Linked DNA regions of Nothobranchius furzeri. The main gene of each other region encodes a partner of the protein of the gene in region 3 in a complex. Links are inferred from orthologs where the notes say so. Each region holds a gene or a part of one and is shown on either strand. Other genes may lie near its edges. The genes, in order: usp4, ubiquitin carboxyl-terminal hydrolase 15, sart3 and ccnt1.

The links.
Region 1: the proteins of sart3 (region 3) and usp4 are in contact, whole or in part, in a crystal structure (PDB 5CTR), measured with the Homo sapiens proteins. The link is inferred for Nothobranchius furzeri from reciprocal best matches to the Homo sapiens genes SART3 and USP4. Residues at the interface, in NP_055521.1 of Homo sapiens: Asp437, Ser438, Ser439, Lys440, Gln490, Arg493, Glu494, Trp496, Asp497, Met500, Thr501, Ala505, Trp511, Tyr514, Lys529, Arg533, Cys537; in NP_003354.2 of Homo sapiens: Met24, Thr27, Leu28, Ser53, Trp54, Glu123, Gly125, Leu126, Phe127, Val128, Lys129, His130, Cys131, Lys132.
Region 2: the proteins of sart3 (region 3) and ubiquitin carboxyl-terminal hydrolase 15 are in contact, whole or in part, in a crystal structure (PDB 5JJW), measured with the Homo sapiens proteins. The link is inferred for Nothobranchius furzeri from reciprocal best matches to the Homo sapiens genes SART3 and USP15. Residues at the interface, in NP_055521.1 of Homo sapiens: Ser438, Ser439, Lys440, Glu443, Gln490, Arg493, Glu494, Trp496, Asp497, Met500, Thr501, Ala505, Trp511, Tyr514, Arg533, Cys537; in NP_001239007.1 of Homo sapiens: Ser23, Leu24, Asp48, Trp50, Gly121, Met122, Phe123, Val124, Lys125, His126, Lys128.
Region 4: sart3 (region 3) and ccnt1 share a complex: the UniProt entries of both Homo sapiens proteins name them as parts of the 7SK snRNP complex. The link is inferred for Nothobranchius furzeri from reciprocal best matches to the Homo sapiens genes SART3 and CCNT1.

The regions. Positions count from the first base shown.
Region 1 is NC_091743.1:47,676,876-47,681,067, forward strand, and holds the start of usp4 (ubiquitin carboxyl-terminal hydrolase 4), read right to left. Parts: upstream 2,859-4,192; 5' UTR 2,819-2,858; coding exon 2,667-2,818; intron 1,570-2,666; coding exon 1,442-1,569; intron 1,351-1,441; coding exon 1,220-1,350; intron 1,143-1,219; coding exon 1,016-1,142; intron 936-1,015; coding exon 790-935; intron 1-789.
Region 2 is NC_091741.1:53,834,414-53,838,494, reverse strand, and holds the start of ubiquitin carboxyl-terminal hydrolase 15, read right to left. Parts: upstream 2,861-4,081; 5' UTR 2,816-2,860; coding exon 2,727-2,815; intron 2,169-2,726; coding exon 2,041-2,168; intron 1,600-2,040; coding exon 1,469-1,599; intron 1,082-1,468; exon of another isoform or gene 975-1,081; coding exon of another isoform or gene 942-974; intron 4-941; coding exon 1-3. UniProt on the Homo sapiens protein: Hydrolase that removes conjugated ubiquitin from target proteins and regulates various pathways such as the TGF-beta receptor signaling, NF-kappa-B and RNF41/NRDP1-PRKN pathways.
Region 3 is NC_091757.1:45,779,610-45,783,860, forward strand, and holds the start of sart3 (squamous cell carcinoma antigen recognized by T-cells 3), read left to right. Parts: upstream 1-1,418; 5' UTR 1,419-1,460; coding exon 1,461-1,652; intron 1,653-2,330; coding exon 2,331-2,457; intron 2,458-2,549; coding exon 2,550-2,654; intron 2,655-2,745; coding exon 2,746-2,930; intron 2,931-3,162; coding exon 3,163-3,268; intron 3,269-3,373; coding exon 3,374-3,498; intron 3,499-3,582; coding exon 3,583-3,738; intron 3,739-3,853; coding exon 3,854-3,992; intron 3,993-4,086; coding exon 4,087-4,194; intron 4,195-4,251. Other genes in the region: iscua (iron-sulfur cluster assembly enzyme ISCU), read right to left, coding at 49-159, 238-351, 475-576. UniProt on the Homo sapiens protein: U6 snRNP-binding protein that functions as a recycling factor of the splicing machinery. Promotes the initial reassembly of U4 and U6 snRNPs following their ejection from the spliceosome during its maturation.
Region 4 is NC_091755.1:57,570,715-57,573,762, forward strand, and holds part of ccnt1 (cyclin-T1), read right to left. Parts: intron 912-3,048; coding exon 841-911; intron 744-840; coding exon 1-743. UniProt on the Homo sapiens protein: Regulatory subunit of the cyclin-dependent kinase pair (CDK9/cyclin-T1) complex, also called positive transcription elongation factor B (P-TEFb), which facilitates the transition from abortive to productive elongation by phosphorylating the CTD (C-terminal domain) of the large subunit of RNA polymerase II (RNA Pol II).

The DNA.
Region 1 (4,192 bases), on a different chromosome or scaffold from region 3:
GACCGGAGTTACCTACCCTTGACTTATGGTAACCAAGGGCAACAACCTGATGAGATCCTTTCTTTTTACCAAGTTCAGCTGGCCTGGCAAGCCAGACTAAATAAATGTATTATTTAGTCTGGCCACGCTCCATTGACGGCTCTCGGTTGTGGGGCGGGTTCTACCGTTGTCTTTCAAATGATCTCCGCATTCCACTGGACAATGAATGTGACATACTCTTGTTTCACTCTGTTGCATCATCCCACCCACCAGGCACATAGAGTGCCCTGATTGGCCCACAAAGCGGATAAAGCTCTGTGATTTGTTCACTAAGCAGATAGAGCACTATGATTGGCCCACCATTATGGACCAATCACAGCTCTTTATGTGCTTGAACCCCCTCTAGAGAGCTGTGATTGGCTAGCCAGAGTCCTGGTAGGAGCTGCTGAGGTTCCAGTGGAGCATTCCTAGACCAATCTTTGCAAAGCAAGAATTTGGTCTAGTTCACTAGGCTAAAGTTCAGCATCTATTTAAGTTAAAAGTGAAACAATTCTTGTTTACCTCTACCAAACGTATAAAAAAAGTCACAGGAAACGTTTAACAACCCAACCAAAGCTACTCCTCAACAAGATAAACAATAATGCACGTCTCACTGCAGGGCTAATGAGCTGCTTTGCATTAGGCTCCATCATTTTTCTGATTTTATGTCTGTGAATGAATAATTTATGCAGACAGTACTAATATGCTACAAAGGTTGTGCTGTTTCAGTGGATCAGTGTTCTTTAAGGTCATTGGAATAACTAAAACTACCTGTCCCTGGAAGAGTCCGGCATCCTGTACAGTGCTGTCTGGCTTATTCAGCTGCTCATACGTGTTGCTCATGTATTTGTTCCAGAGTCGAGTCTCCTTTTCTGAAGGGATATTAAACAACTTCCGCATCTCCTTCTCTATTGTATCTGGAAACAAACACGTATAATGAACCAGGGCTGTCAGCATCTGCTTTAAGTTCACTTTGAGATCACACAGTAATTCTTACCTATGGTGTCAGCTTTACTAAAATGGCGCGTGATGACGTTGTCCATGTTGTCATTCTCACACAGGTTGAGCTCCAGCAGATAGACTTCCACCTTACAGTGCTTCACAAACATGCCATGTTCAACCACCTAGAGGCCAGAGACAGTCAACGCCTTGCAAAGCTTGGTGAAACAGAAAGAGGAAGACAACTCTTCAATGGGACTACCTTCCTGACGATTGGTTTCTGGCCCTCGAGACAGCTGTACCAGCTGACAAGCTTGTTCCATGCCTCCGTGGGTACAAGGACATAGTCTAGTTCATCTATAAGGTGCTCTTTCAGGGCCTGAGTGTCCTGGTCTAGGAGACAAAAATAAATAATACACCAACTTTTAACGGGGGCTGCTGGAAAGATTAAAAATAAAACAAGACAGGACTCTTGATAAAATACCTGAGAATAGTCCAGAGTTATCAATTGGTCCCGGATAGAGGCTACGTTCTCCAACATTGTACATATCCCAGCTGTCAAACCCCACATACTTTTTCCATTGTTTGAACCACCGGCTGTCTATTAGATACCTAGGACAAATGAATGAATTGTTATTACGTAAATAACAATGAACACAACGATCCTCAAGAATTACCCTAAATAATAACCACCAATGTCTATAGTTATCAGATAATGAATATAGAACAGGATAAAGGATAAGAACCACTGCCTCCTGCAGACACAAAACATTATGTAACACCACAATTCCCTGGCAGTTATAGTAACAGCAAGCCAGTTTTACTTAATCTCGTCTAAAGAATCACCTTTAGTTAATTGGCTTCAAGAGATATCTAGTAACAAACATTCATTCATTCAGTAATGTCCCAGGTATGTCCGTGTCTTGTGTTCCCTTTGACACGTTAGGTTTTATTAAACTGTGTCTGATTAAAGCCAGGATAAGTGTAGCATCGTGAAAGGTCATCTACTAATAACTGAGTGACTGAACAAACGTGGAGCTAAAGAGTTAACCGTTTGTATTTTCTATGTTAATGCCCTTATATTAACTAAGAGAACACACATGTTACCTAGTTTAGATCTCACAGCTTATTATCTAAACTGAAGTTGTTGATTTTTTTTATTTTACTTTAATTATAGGCACGTATAGATTTTTCCACGATAATACTTAATTTGTGAAATATGGGCTCTTTTCAATGCCCTAGCTACGTTATAACCAGGCCTGGATGCTCTTAAAGATTTAAAACGGTGTGAAAAGAGTGACAGTAAAGAAATGCCATATCATATCAGCGAACCTGATTGAGCAACAAGCCGGCTGGACTCGAATCATCTGACTACGGGGCCTTCTAGCTAGCACATCGGTTGGCTCCGATAACGTATTACAAAACGAGATAACTTTGTGTTACTCAACAACATGTTATTTACGTGATTAGTCTGCTGCTCCCAGCCAAAATAGCTGATTCCTTAACGATACACTCCATGTAACAGAAATTGTGAAGAGCTTTGGTTAGCAGCTAGCGTGCTAATCCATGTTACATTAGCTTGCTATTTAGCAATACAGCTTTCTGTTTCATTGCTTTATACGCCTATTAGCTGTAGCATGTTAGCACTTCCGGTTTCTCGCAAGCTAACGCAGGAGCCTCAGATAGGGTTGAACTTAGCTGATTCTTACCATTCGTCCCCTCTTTTTAAAGTTGTTTTCAATAGTGACCCAATAGTTTGTTTCTGATTTTCCGTTGATGGGGTAGGTATTTGTGCGGCTACCGGCTCCGAGTCGGAGTCTGCCGCGCTACCCGAATCGGGTCCGCCTCCCTCAGCCATCATGCAGCCAGTGTGCCGGTATCGTGAACGCGCTAAAACTAAGCACATGGACGAGCTGTGTTCTTTTCATCCCCTATTCCCCTCTAGCAGAGGCGGTTCTAGAGCTTTACTTTTAGGGGTCCACAACTACAAACGTGACTTGCAAAAAGAACCAGAAGTGTCTTCTCTGTCACAAATAAGACTGAAAGCTGGGGTACATACACATTTTTTAATGGTTTTGGTTTCACAATCCTCTCCAGGGTGTGGCTTGTACACTTTTTTTAATCACATTGTCCTTCCATTCACCTCTCTTTAAATGTGCTTAGCTTATACACAGCTCTTTAGCAACCATCAGTCAGTATGTACAGTCTATGTACAGTATGTACTAGGATTGTCACGATACTAAAATTTCAAACTCGATTCGATACTTGGACAAAAACCGATACTCGATTTCGATACTATTTAAAAACACCCATTTATCGAACAAGTTTATTCAAAAAATAACATTCCTCACATTATATTACAAAAATTAAATGTTAAGAATTAAGTGTATTAAGTGCTTAAACCTTTAAAGTATCAGCATTTTTTAAAACGTGCATACAAAAACTGGTGAAAGTTAACATTTTAAATCATGAATTGTCTCACTATATATACACTATTTGCAGAGTGATGTTTTGCTGCTTAAACTCTGTTTAAGGTGCATTTTTGTCATAAGCTGTAATGCCATATGTTTTGTTCTGTACTTTTGAACAACTCTGTTGGTCAATAAAGGGAGAAAACAAATTTCTCCACAGTAGGACAAAGGTACATCTACCGGTAATCTTAATAAAAACAGACTGGCGCACGGCAGTGACGTCATTAAAAGCGCCGGTTAGATTAGCCGCAGCTAGTCTGTTTACGCCTAGAAATCCCAGACCAGACCCGCTCCAAACGAACAGGGGAATCACGTTAATGATTCCTAACAAAACCTTTCGACATGAAGATGTTTTGGTGCAGATAATGTCCTATTTCGAGGCTGCACCATGGGTGCCCGTCCGCACCCGTTATATGGATATACGCTGACGGCGATTTGGTGATGGACCTACGGTAAATACCCCGGGGAATCCAAGTAGCACCAAAGTTGTCAGCGTGAGTAAACAAACGTACTGCATGCTAGAAATTAAGGCCGGGTTGCAATAAACGGGAGTTTCCTTTAAGCACATAAGCGTGAATATACAACTACATGTCGGACTAATTAAGTTGGGCTGTGAAGCGCCTCCCAAATTCGCTGTTTATGTTTTTGTTTATTTATTTGGCAGACAAAACTTGGATTGGAGACAACTCGCGTGGGAAATTGCAATGTAGCCATGCGGCGTCTTCTTCTGTTTGTCTGGGAGGCGGAGGCTGCTTTACGGCATC
Region 2 (4,081 bases), on a different chromosome or scaffold from region 3:
CACCTGCAGAGAAAGAAAAACAGCTACATGAGTAAAAGTTCAGTCACATGTTATTTCCAGCATTCTGGTGTTACAGTGGAGCAGAGCATTTGTGCCAAAACAAATGATTATCAAACAACAATTATCACCAAAAGATTAAATCTAGTGTCATAATGATCAATCCAAACCATTATAGGCTGCAGGTTCCTGCTTGTTATACTGAACTAAATAAAGTAAATGCAGAAAAATAAAACAACACATTTAAATAGTCTTTTTTTATCTAGATTTGTGCAACAAACAGAAGTCCAATCTGCTGCCCTGGCTGCTACTTATCAAGTCCTCTGACAAAATCGGAGTTAGAGTGAAGATCTAATTATAGCAGCACCTTGTGGAAACAGCTGAGGGGGTCTGAACCTATTTATTTCACCACTGAGCCTCTCCAACACACACGCATGTATATATATATACACACACACACAGTACTACTTTCACAAACGACACTGAGAACTGCACCGGTCATGCATCACCTCCAGCCCTGCCCCGAACCAAGCCTGGATGTTCTGTTGGGCCGACAGAGCTGCTCAGAAAAAGTCAGTGCCATTTTAAATCGAGAGGACGTAAGTACAACCCAAGGGCCAAACTCTAACAGAATTCCTCAAATTAGAGCTCAGTTAAAAACTATTTACCCCACCCACCCCATTCCTCCTCCCATACTGGTCACACTCCTCTCTCAATCCTTCGCGCTGCTACTCTCAGAGTGACCTCAGCAGGAATTCCTCCACTCCAAAAAACAAGGGCTCAAGAACGCTCCACCGGTGTTAACAGCAACACCAGCTGAGGACTGTGGAAGACGAACCCGCTGACAGCAGTCCTCCTGAATCCCACTCAAACTTATGCACTCTCCCACAGCACAGGATGGCAAAATAAGTTCAAAAAGAGAGAAAAACAGATTATTTATAAACCTCCTGCATGTTGTGTCTTGTAGACCGCTCCATGTAGCTTTACAGTCACCCAGAACGTTGCCTGAAAATAGAAACCCTGTAGCCACCCGATACGTGCCATGACATACATGGGAAAAGAGGGAGGGTCAACGGAAACGAAGAGAGGAATACAGTGGTGCCGGGGGGGGGGGGGGGGGACGACCTCCTCCAGCAGCCATGATGGCATGATTAGCAAAATCTGAAGTGGAGAAATTAATACTTAAGTTGCAATCCTAATGTATTCCAAAAAACTAATTATATTTTATACTGATCTTTCATCTAAATGTTGTATAATCTTTGTTAATCCTGGTTGAAATATTTTGTTTTTACGCTGAAATGTAAGAATCATCCTGTAAACAAACTGATTCTGTAGACAGAAAACATTTCAATGGACTCCACCACAAAGCAGCAGCCATTAGTAAGACTCTTACAGTCCATTAAAGAAAAGCTGCCTTATCTCTCCATCACTAACACTCAATAAATGCCCTTCCAGGGTTCTGAACCTTTACCTTGCGTGCGATTGGTTCCTGACCTTCTGACAGTCCATACCAGCTGACAAGTTTATTCCAGCCTTCGGCAGGGACCAGGATGTAGTCGAGCTCATCGATGAGGTGGTCCTTGATGGCCAGCACATCCCCATCTAGAAAGAGAGGGAACAAGGGATGAAAGGAGAGGACGAGAAACACAATCAGAACAAAGAACGCATCACTGACTGTGTGCTTTCTCACACAAAAAAACAAAAGGTAGGCTGGGGAGCTTCTATGAAGTCAGTAGACAATTCTAGCTTTGTCTCCATTTTGCTGAAATTGTCGGTAATTTCAGAATGAAGACACTCAGCAGAGACACAATTATTAAAATATTAGATTATTAATACTGAACTTTACAATCTTCTGTTTTGCTGTATTTATTTGCTAGAAAAACCTACCTAAACTGACTTTGACAGATATTCTCTGAAACAACTAAATATTAAAACATGCACGATGGTAATCAACCACAGCTGAAGAAAGAGGAACAAACAACAGGTAAACAGAAATATTAATGTAGGACCTAGTTTAGTAGTTTGAGTTTTCACCGGTCTTACCTTTGAGTAGGCCAGAGTTATCCACCGGTCCGGGGTAAACATTCTGGTCCCCCATCTGGTATTTATCCCAGCTGTCAAATCCCACATATTTCTTCCACTGTTTGAACCAGCGACTGTCCACTAAATACCTAGAGGAGACCACCACGGTTTACTCAATAACAACAGTGTTTTAAAAGACTCTGAGAGGCAAACACTACACCCAACAGCTGATTTATTGACGGTAGGTGGAGTTCAGATTGCTGCAATCCCAGCCAGCTGGCTCTGAGATTTTGACAGGTGTTTTTTTTTTTACCGACTCCGCCCAACTAAAGTCGACAGACGAACCCCCTGACTGGAAAATCACTTGGAGCGACACATGCTAACCAAGTAGCTAAATTAGCCTGCTACTTACCCAACAGGCTCTTTAGTATTGTTAAGGTCATGAAATCAGATAAAAACAACATTATTCGTTTAGAACGGATTACAATTGCGCGTAGAGTTCAGAATTTAAACGTTAAGAGTCAGTTCTTCATTTAAACTGACCAGAGCCAGCGGTTAGCTGGAACGCTCTCGTTAGCAACCCAAACGCCTCACTGTCAACACGGCCCGTCACCTCGGCTTTTCTAACATTTGTGGCTTTGTCACTCGCAGCAGAGCCAGGCGGCGGCCACGCAGTCCCTCAAGAGAGATCTCGGTTCATGCCTTACCAGGTGTCCCCTTTCCTAAGCTGTGTTTTCAATAGTGTCGTGATCTCTCCTCTCTGAGTATCCAGATCAGCCGCTCCTCCTTCGGCCATCTTTACTCGAACGTTGCATGGTGGGAAAAGCGTGCGGCGTCATCGACGCACGTTGAGCGTAATTGATCTACTGACACCAATCAGGAGCCAAGCAGCGGTGCAGAGGAAGGTGTGGCAAGCTCTTTTCACATTTAAGATAGGCTAAAGGTGCTTTGTCATTCAATTCCATTAGGTCAAAATAAACATATTAGAGAGCAATAAATACCTGCGACCTGGAAAAAAATTCAGATAGCTCCAACAATCGTTACAGGACAAATAGAATAGAATAGAATAGAATAGAATAGAATAGAATAGAATAGAATGACACTTAACTGTCCACCGTGGTGGAAATTTTTCTTTAGCTCTCAAGAACTGAAAAAAAAGCCAAATTCATGTATGCAAGTTGGGTTTTTACTCTAATTAGCTGGATTAAAATTGTCAGATGTCTTAAACAGAACTCCTCTCATATTAAGAAAATTATTATTTCCGATATCTATCATTTAATCCCTCATTTTAGACATCTACAACAATACCAGACATCCCTAAAATACTTGAGAAAAATGTTTGTATTAAGAATGTAAGTGAGTATAGCTTTCATTTAAATTTTGACAAGTAAAAGTGACATTTTACGTCTGGGATGTCTCCATCTGCCTCTGCAGGAGCTGTCCATGGTCTCCACAGTGGGAGGTTTTTTTTTAAATGGAGGTCATCTTCCCCATCCTCCTATCACACATCTCCTATACTGAATCCAGTGGGCAGCCCAGAACCGAGCTATCTAATAGTGTTCAAGAAGATGCTAATACATGGACCATTGCTATGGGATTAGATTTGTGCCAGTAGGATCAAGAAAAAACACTTTGGAGATCAAACAAATTTTAAGACATTGAGAGAGAAAAAATGAATGGATTAATGATGTAACTCTGACTGAATGATTATCTAAGTGAGTATGTTTGAAAATAAATTTCTTACCAGTATACAGATCTGACATTTGTTTGTCAGAACAGGACAAATCAGATTCACTCTGCTTTCTGTCACCCTAAATCAGATCCATATCTGATGTTTTTATTACTCAAGTTTGCATGAACTAGGGCTGCAGCTATCGAATATTTTCGTAATCGAGTACTCTATTGAATCTTTTATCAATTAATCGAGTACTCTAATAAATGACCCTTTTGTGTTTGTAAACCATTATATAAATTAGCATGTTATAAAATATGAAAGACCTCTTCAAATGAGCACGCAATTGCCAGTTATTCTTCAAGTTTCATTCAAAATTAGTTTTCAAAA
Region 3 (4,251 bases):
GCTCTAAAACAAGAACAGTCTTCATAAATGTAATAATTCTTGCCCTACCGATTTCCCCTTCACCCACTCTGTAGCTAAAGAGCTGGAGGCGATGGCGGATCCGCAGCCGAATGTTTTGAATTTTGCATCAGATATTTTGCCATCTTCATCCACTTGGATCTGGAAACAGCATGAATAATACCGCCGGGTGTCGTTTATGAGTGAAAAGTCTTTAACGGCAGTTTTGTTTCAGCTTACCTGAAGTTTCATAACATCACCACAGGCTGGAGCACCCACCAGTCCGGTCCCCACGCTCTTGGAGTTCTTGTCCAAAGAGCCCACATTCCTCGGGTTTTCATAATGGTCCACCACCTTCAGGACAGTTAATTAAATGCATTAATGTTTCAGGACTTGCGTTGACTTCTAACACCACACAAACAAACAAACCGAGGACTTTACTTCACACAAAGTCAATGACATTCTTTGGTCGGTTACCTTTTTATGATATGAGCAAAGAACGGTCAGCTTTGGTCTGAAAAACCTTTGGTGAAATGATGAAAACAGAGAAGAAGAATTTCGCAAGGAGGCAGTCGCCATGTTTGGACGCCGACCGTAAGCGGAAATTAACGAGTGAACCCGAACGACGGCGAACTCTTTCTGTCAGAAAAGTGTTTTCATAACAACTGCGCGCCACTAGCGGTGAATAGTGGCTACTGCAGTTTCCCGGGATGCGTGGTGGAAACGGCAAAACTTTGTAACATATAATTTAATCACTGAAGTGTTTTAAACCTGTAAGATGTTGATGTCAGATGTTAAAATAGTCAAACGTTTTTGTTGATATTAACATTTAATGACTAGAGTGGTATGAATTGCTATTTCATTTTTAATTGCATCTTTGTATAACTAATTTCTTCCCCCTCAAAAACATTTGATATACCGAAACATTTCCATCCACAATCAGCGTTTGAAATATTGAGAATTCCTTAAAAACAATTATAGTTAACATAACTTAATTAATTAATGTGAAATTAGTCTTTATCGTGAGATGGTAAATTATTTATTCAGAATAAACAAGATGGAAACATGAAAAATAAATATTACAGAAAGAAACTCAAATTTCAGACATCTGCAATTCTTTCTGACTTGCTATGAGGCCTGTAAATAAAATAACAATTTATTTTATTCCACCCAACTGAAGTTTTAAGAGTTCCCAGTTATCTTGGATATTTGCATTTATATTGTTTCTACTAATTAGGCATGTTCTCAAATGCTTAAAATTATTTCATATTTGCCGTATCACGGACTAATGAGATTTTAATTTTGTCGTCACTTTTATTTATACCCGTTATTTCAGATTAATGGGATTGAGATGATGCGACTCTCGTTATTACAAATTTTTTATATGATAAATCGGCTTGCCCAACCCACGCCTCTGTTCTTCGGGCTAGGCTTGTTGTTACCAGGCAGACAGACTTTTCAATATGGCAGCGCCAGGCAACGCAGAGCAAACGCAGTTGCAGGATATGGAGGAGGACGAAGCAGGAGTAGAGGAAAGAGAGATGGAATCGGACGAGGAAGAAGGCATGGGTGTAGAAAATTCAGACGACGAAGAGGACGAATCGTCGGAGGACGAGAAAGAAAATGAAGCCGAGATCCAGCGATTGGAGGAGCAGGTAATTGGTCAACAATCCTGCCAAGCCTGATTAGTCAACATTAGCCGTGGAAGCTAATGAGAATGAATGAGTGCTGAACGCAGAAACTCGTGAGGTTTCAAACTCATTGCGTGTTGCTCATCCCTTTATAGGTTTTGATTTAAACCAGAATAAATAGTTCATATGTTCATTAAAACATTTAGGCAACTGCGTAGTTCACGGCATGAATCACACGTCGTGATTAGCCCGTGCTAACCTCCGATGCTAACGTTTGGTCCTGCAGCACGCGCCTTTTTGCGACCTGGGCATGGAAACAGCTTTATACGTACTAAGAACGAGGGTCACCTGTCCTAACTTTAGTGTAACTAATAAACATGTTCGAGCACAACTCACAAGTGCATCATTTGTAGAAATAAAATGCTTTTTCACATGAAAAAAAAAACAAGTTTACTACTACAATTACTGGACTTAGTCTGGGGTCTAAACAATCCGATTTATTTATTTGTTAATGTATTTATTGCTTGTTGCTCCACCCCTACAATTAGGCTTGAATCTTTACATCAGCTGTTTTTGGCAGTAAAACTAACTTACTGGATTGCTTTTTCATTAATTAAAGATCAATAAACTCAAAAAGAAAATTATGTAAAATTAGTTTAATGATTCAACATGACGCTCGTGTCTCTTTTTGCACTTTTGCAGCTTTCGATCAACGCTTTTGACTACAACTGTCATGTGGATCTGATCAAACTCCTGAAGCACGAGGGAGAACTTTTTCGTCTGAGAAAGGCGAGGCAGAAGATGAGCGAGCTTTTCCCTCTCACTGAAGGTTGGTTCACGTCTAATCCAGCTGCCAATTCCAAGGAACCAGCAGCTTTGTGTCGTCTGCCACTGAAATGACATTTTGGTGTATGTTTGCAGAGATCTGGCTGGACTGGCTCAAGGATGAAATCCGTCTGACTGAGGAGGATGCAAATCGGGAGAAAGTGTACGAGCTGTTTGAGAGAGCTGTTAAAGACTACATTTGTGAGTCAACTATACTGCTGTTGTTGAATTTATTCTAACATTCAGCTGTTTTAATGGTCTGAATCATTTTATTCTGTGACTGGTTGAACAGGCCCAGAGATCTGGCTTGAATATGCCCAGTATTCAATTGGTGGCATGGGGTCACCTGGTGGGATAGACAAGGTCAGATCTATCTTTGAGAGAGCGGTAACAGCGGTGGGACTCCACATGACCAAGGGGCAGACGCTGTGGGAGGCCTACAGAGAGTTTGAGAATGCACTTTTGTCTACGTTGCAGGTTTGTGCTGCTCACTGGTCAACCATGTACTCAGTATTTCTAAATAATTTAATAATATTTATGTAGAATGATGATGTTTCTGTATTCTATTGCAGTCTAGATAGATAAGTAAATGTCTTATTTTATTGATTCAAAGCATGCTCTCATATCTATGCCTGGAAAGAATTCCTTTAGATTTTTGACTAAATTGGCTGTTTTTCATCCTAATTTACTCTCCCGTCTTTGCTCTCAGCCTCCCCCTGGCAGGATTCCCAGCCACGAGGAGCAGGAACTGCTCAACAATCAGCTCGAGCGAATCCATACATTGTTTCGCCGCCAGCTGGCCGTTCCACTAATGGGTAGGCATGGCACCTCCTCTGTCCAGATGGCTTCTGCACAGATGGGCTGGCTGGATGTCACGACTTCTTCGATGAACAAGTTTAAATTGCTTACTGCTTTTGCAGAAATGGAAACCACCTATGCTGAGTATGAGGAGTGGTCTGAAAACGGGGTTCCTGAGACTGTCGTCCATCAGTACAAAAAGGCTTTGCAGCAGATGCAGAAGTGCAAATCTTATGAAGAAGCTCTGGTAACTGAACACTTATCTTTTTTTTAAGTGGTTTGCACAAAGTGTTTTTGCAGCGCATGTCATTTCTGCTATATCTTTCTCTAGCTGGTAGCAGAACCTCCTAAACTGGCAGAATATCAGGCCTACATTGAGTTTGAGCTAAAGGAGGGGGACCCACCACGGATCCAGATTACCTTCGAGCGAGCTCTGGCTGAGAACTGCCTGGTTCCAGACATGTGGACTAAATACACCACATATCTCGTGAGTATTGGTTACTGTTCGCAGTCGTGTCATTACAGCATCTAAGGTTTCAGAAGTAAATAAATGAAAAAATCACAGCTAGTCAGAGTGTAAAAGGTCCTTACTGGTTTTACAGGATCGTCAGCTGAAGATCAAAGACTTGGTTCTGTCCACTCACGAGCGAGCGGTCAGGAACTGCCCGTGGACCATGAGTCTGTGGAAGAGCTACCTGTTGGCCCTGGAGAGGCATGGCAGTGACCATCACACTGTGTCAGGTAGCGGCTAGGTTCAGCATCAAGTCGACCAGTCAGCTGCTTTATTAGTGTCAAGCGTTTGTGAAGCAGATTGATGTTAATCTCTTCTGCACAGATGTTTTTGAGAAGGCTCTGAACGCAGGCTTCATTCAAGCCACAGATTATGTAGAAATTTGGCAGGCCTACCTGGACTACCTGAGGAGACGTGTGGATTTCTCTAAAGGTGAGAGCAGATCTGTGTCTAAAACAGTTGCTGTCTTTAAGTTTTAGTCTGATGGCT
Region 4 (3,048 bases), on a different chromosome or scaffold from region 3:
GAAGAAACTGAAGCACTGCTAGAAGAGGAGGAATGGTGGTGAGGATGATGGTTGTGATGATGGTGATGATGGTATGCACGGTCCCTGTGCTTGTCCCTGCTACTCTTGCCCTCCTCTCCAGAACTCCCTCTTTGCTTCTCAGGCACTCGTATTTTTACTTTGATGTCTGGATCCTGACCTCGAGTGGCGTCACTGACTGCTCCGGTGTGTGGAAAACGCATTTTCAGATGCCTCTCCTTCTCCAAGGGAATTTTAAGAATAATGGGTGATGGGTTGGGCATGTCAGAGGAGGAAGAGGAACTGGACTGCTGGTGATGATGATGCTGTTGCTTCTCCTTTCTCTGCTGCTGGCCAATGAGAGCCTGGGCTGCGTTTGCATATTCCCTCTTCACACTGGCCTCCATGTTCTCAAGCTTTCTCTTCTGTGCTGCCAGGACATCAGCATTTTTGGCACGGTACTCACTCAGGGATACCTTTGCTGGGGTGTGCACTTCATGGTTGGGCTGCTGCTGCTGCTCAGTTCCAGCCTGACCCTTTCCACTCCACGTCTGAGCACTAATGGGCATAGCCCTGTCCTTGTCACTGATAGATGATGAAGAGGAGGTGGACGGTGGAGCTGAGAGGCTCAACAGGCCCGCTACAGTACTCTCTGATGAAGCCATAGAAATCATGTTGATCATGGTGTCCCTCTGGTCGCCATCTTCCTGAATCTTTGGCTTGACTTTGGGTGTCTGACCGCCAGCCTAAAATGCCAAAAAGTCAAAGATTAAAGTTCATTAAAATTTACAAATTGCAGAAAGACCAGATTGTATCAAGTGGGTGGGAAAATAAAACGTGTACCTTCCAGTTGCGAATGCGTTTCAGCCGACTGGGTGTTTTCTCCAGGATTTGAAGGAACTCGTGAGTAAGTTCTGCAAAAGATTTTAAAAATTAAGATAAACTCAAGTAGGGCTGGGCGATACGGCCTAAAATCAATATCATTATATATTGAGCATTTCACCTCGATAACGATAAATGGACAATAACTACAGGTGTGCGCAGAAACAAAAGTTGTCCACTAGATGGGGCTGTCACCTAGGGCTGAACGATCTATCGTTTTTTTTTTTTTGGGACCGAAATTGCGATTTCAAACAGCACGATCACATGATCGTCAAAGCTGGGGTTTTGGGGCGGTTTTGACTGATCCAGGATATGTTGTGTAACTTTTACATTCGGGGTTTCCCCCTGTGTTACAGCGACGGCAACAGCCAGCGCGGGGGAAGGGATACGGTGTAGGGTTGGGAATCGAGCATCGATTGGAACTGGGACCAACTGTTAGTTTTTCATGGAGTCGTTCAAAGTTTTTTACTTCAATTCCTAGTTTTCGATTCTTAGTATGCCGACCGGAAAAGGAAACCGCGGCCAATCTCCATGAAAAATAAACGTGATCTGCTAATTGTGATCAACGCTTTTCAGAGCTGATCACACCAGCTGTCTGTCTGCAGCACCAAGTCCCCCCTCCCCCAACCGTGCACGCAGCGGCCAAATATAAACAAATGCGTCTGCCGAACTTTTACCCCGTAATGTAAACTTTAACTCCTGCAGCGTAGAGGAAACGTTAAAATACGGCAACACAGTGGACTTACTAGAAGCTTTAAAGAACAAACTCTGGATGGTGTGAGATTGTCTCACTGCAGAAATAAAAACACACACGTCAGCAGTCAGACGCAGCCGCTCACCAACACTCGTGTGTGTGTGTGAGTGTGAGCGTCAGAAGGCTGAATAACCTGTAGAATAATTAAAGTCATAATGCTAGAGAAGCTTCTTTGTGGTGGACCACACCAGCTTCTGCCACTAGGAAAGGGATAATAAATAATAAATAATAATAAATCACACACAAAGTTGTGAAATTTCCTTTCTGAACTATATCTGTTAAGAGTTTTAAAATCTGTTAGATTGTTACTGACAGCAGCTACATTTAAGTTTCAGTCTCTGTTCTGACTGAAGCTGCTGCAGCATGGAGGTGTAGTTCTCAGTCATCCTGGACATGATCATCCTGAGAGTTTTAGCAGAAAACAGCTGGACGTTTCTGGATATGTCGGAGACATTTAGCCTCTCATCCCAGAGGCTTCTTCCAGACTTTGGTTGTGGTCAGAAACAAACACACTGATTGTGCTGCAAGTCTTTTTCTTTTTTTCTTGAAAACATGTTTTTGTCTAAATGAAGATGATGTTATTGTTCATAGAATTAAAATTCATGATGAGGTTAAGATAATTTCATCAAGCAGGACCTGTGGTTAGCTGGCTCATTTAAAACATGTCATGTCTTGAAAGAATTGGAATCGATAGGAACCGGAATCGAAATCAGAATCGTTCAAAACCAAACAATGCCCAACCCTAATGGGGTGTACTGTCTGGAGCCGAGCCCAGCTGACAGAGCTGCACATTTAGGTTATTTTCCCTGTTTTATTTTTCCACACACAGCGCTGCTAGAGCTTGGTTTATGCTTCATCAGTGCGAGTGCGGAGTCGTGCACTTTAGTTGACTTGAAAGATCAACTTTTCTTTTAAAAAATGTTTGATTTTTTCAGATGGCACACATTGCGTCTTTCTCATGGAGCTGTCCGCAGCACTAACCAGGCTTTATAGCTGAGATTTAGTGATGAAAAACTATCAGACGGCTTAGAAAAGCGTGCAGCCTGCCTTGGTAATGCAGGGAAAACTGTGTATATTTTTCGTTAATTAATACATTTGAAAACTGTTTCTACATTCAGATATCCTCCTTGCATTTTTGGAGTAGAACAAGAACATGTTCATTATAAAGCACCTCTCTAGATAAAAATCACAAATTGCTTCACAAGCACACAAAAAAACCATAATAACGGGAGAAAATTGTAATAGCTTTAACAGTGTTTATTGTATTATTAGATAATTATTCATTAATTATAATATACCTGATTAGGTGTACATATTAATTATTATTAGATATTAACGTGATTAATATTTAGAGGTATATATTAACATGTGAATGATTTGTTCTACTAGATTAGAATCTAGACCATCTTTTCACC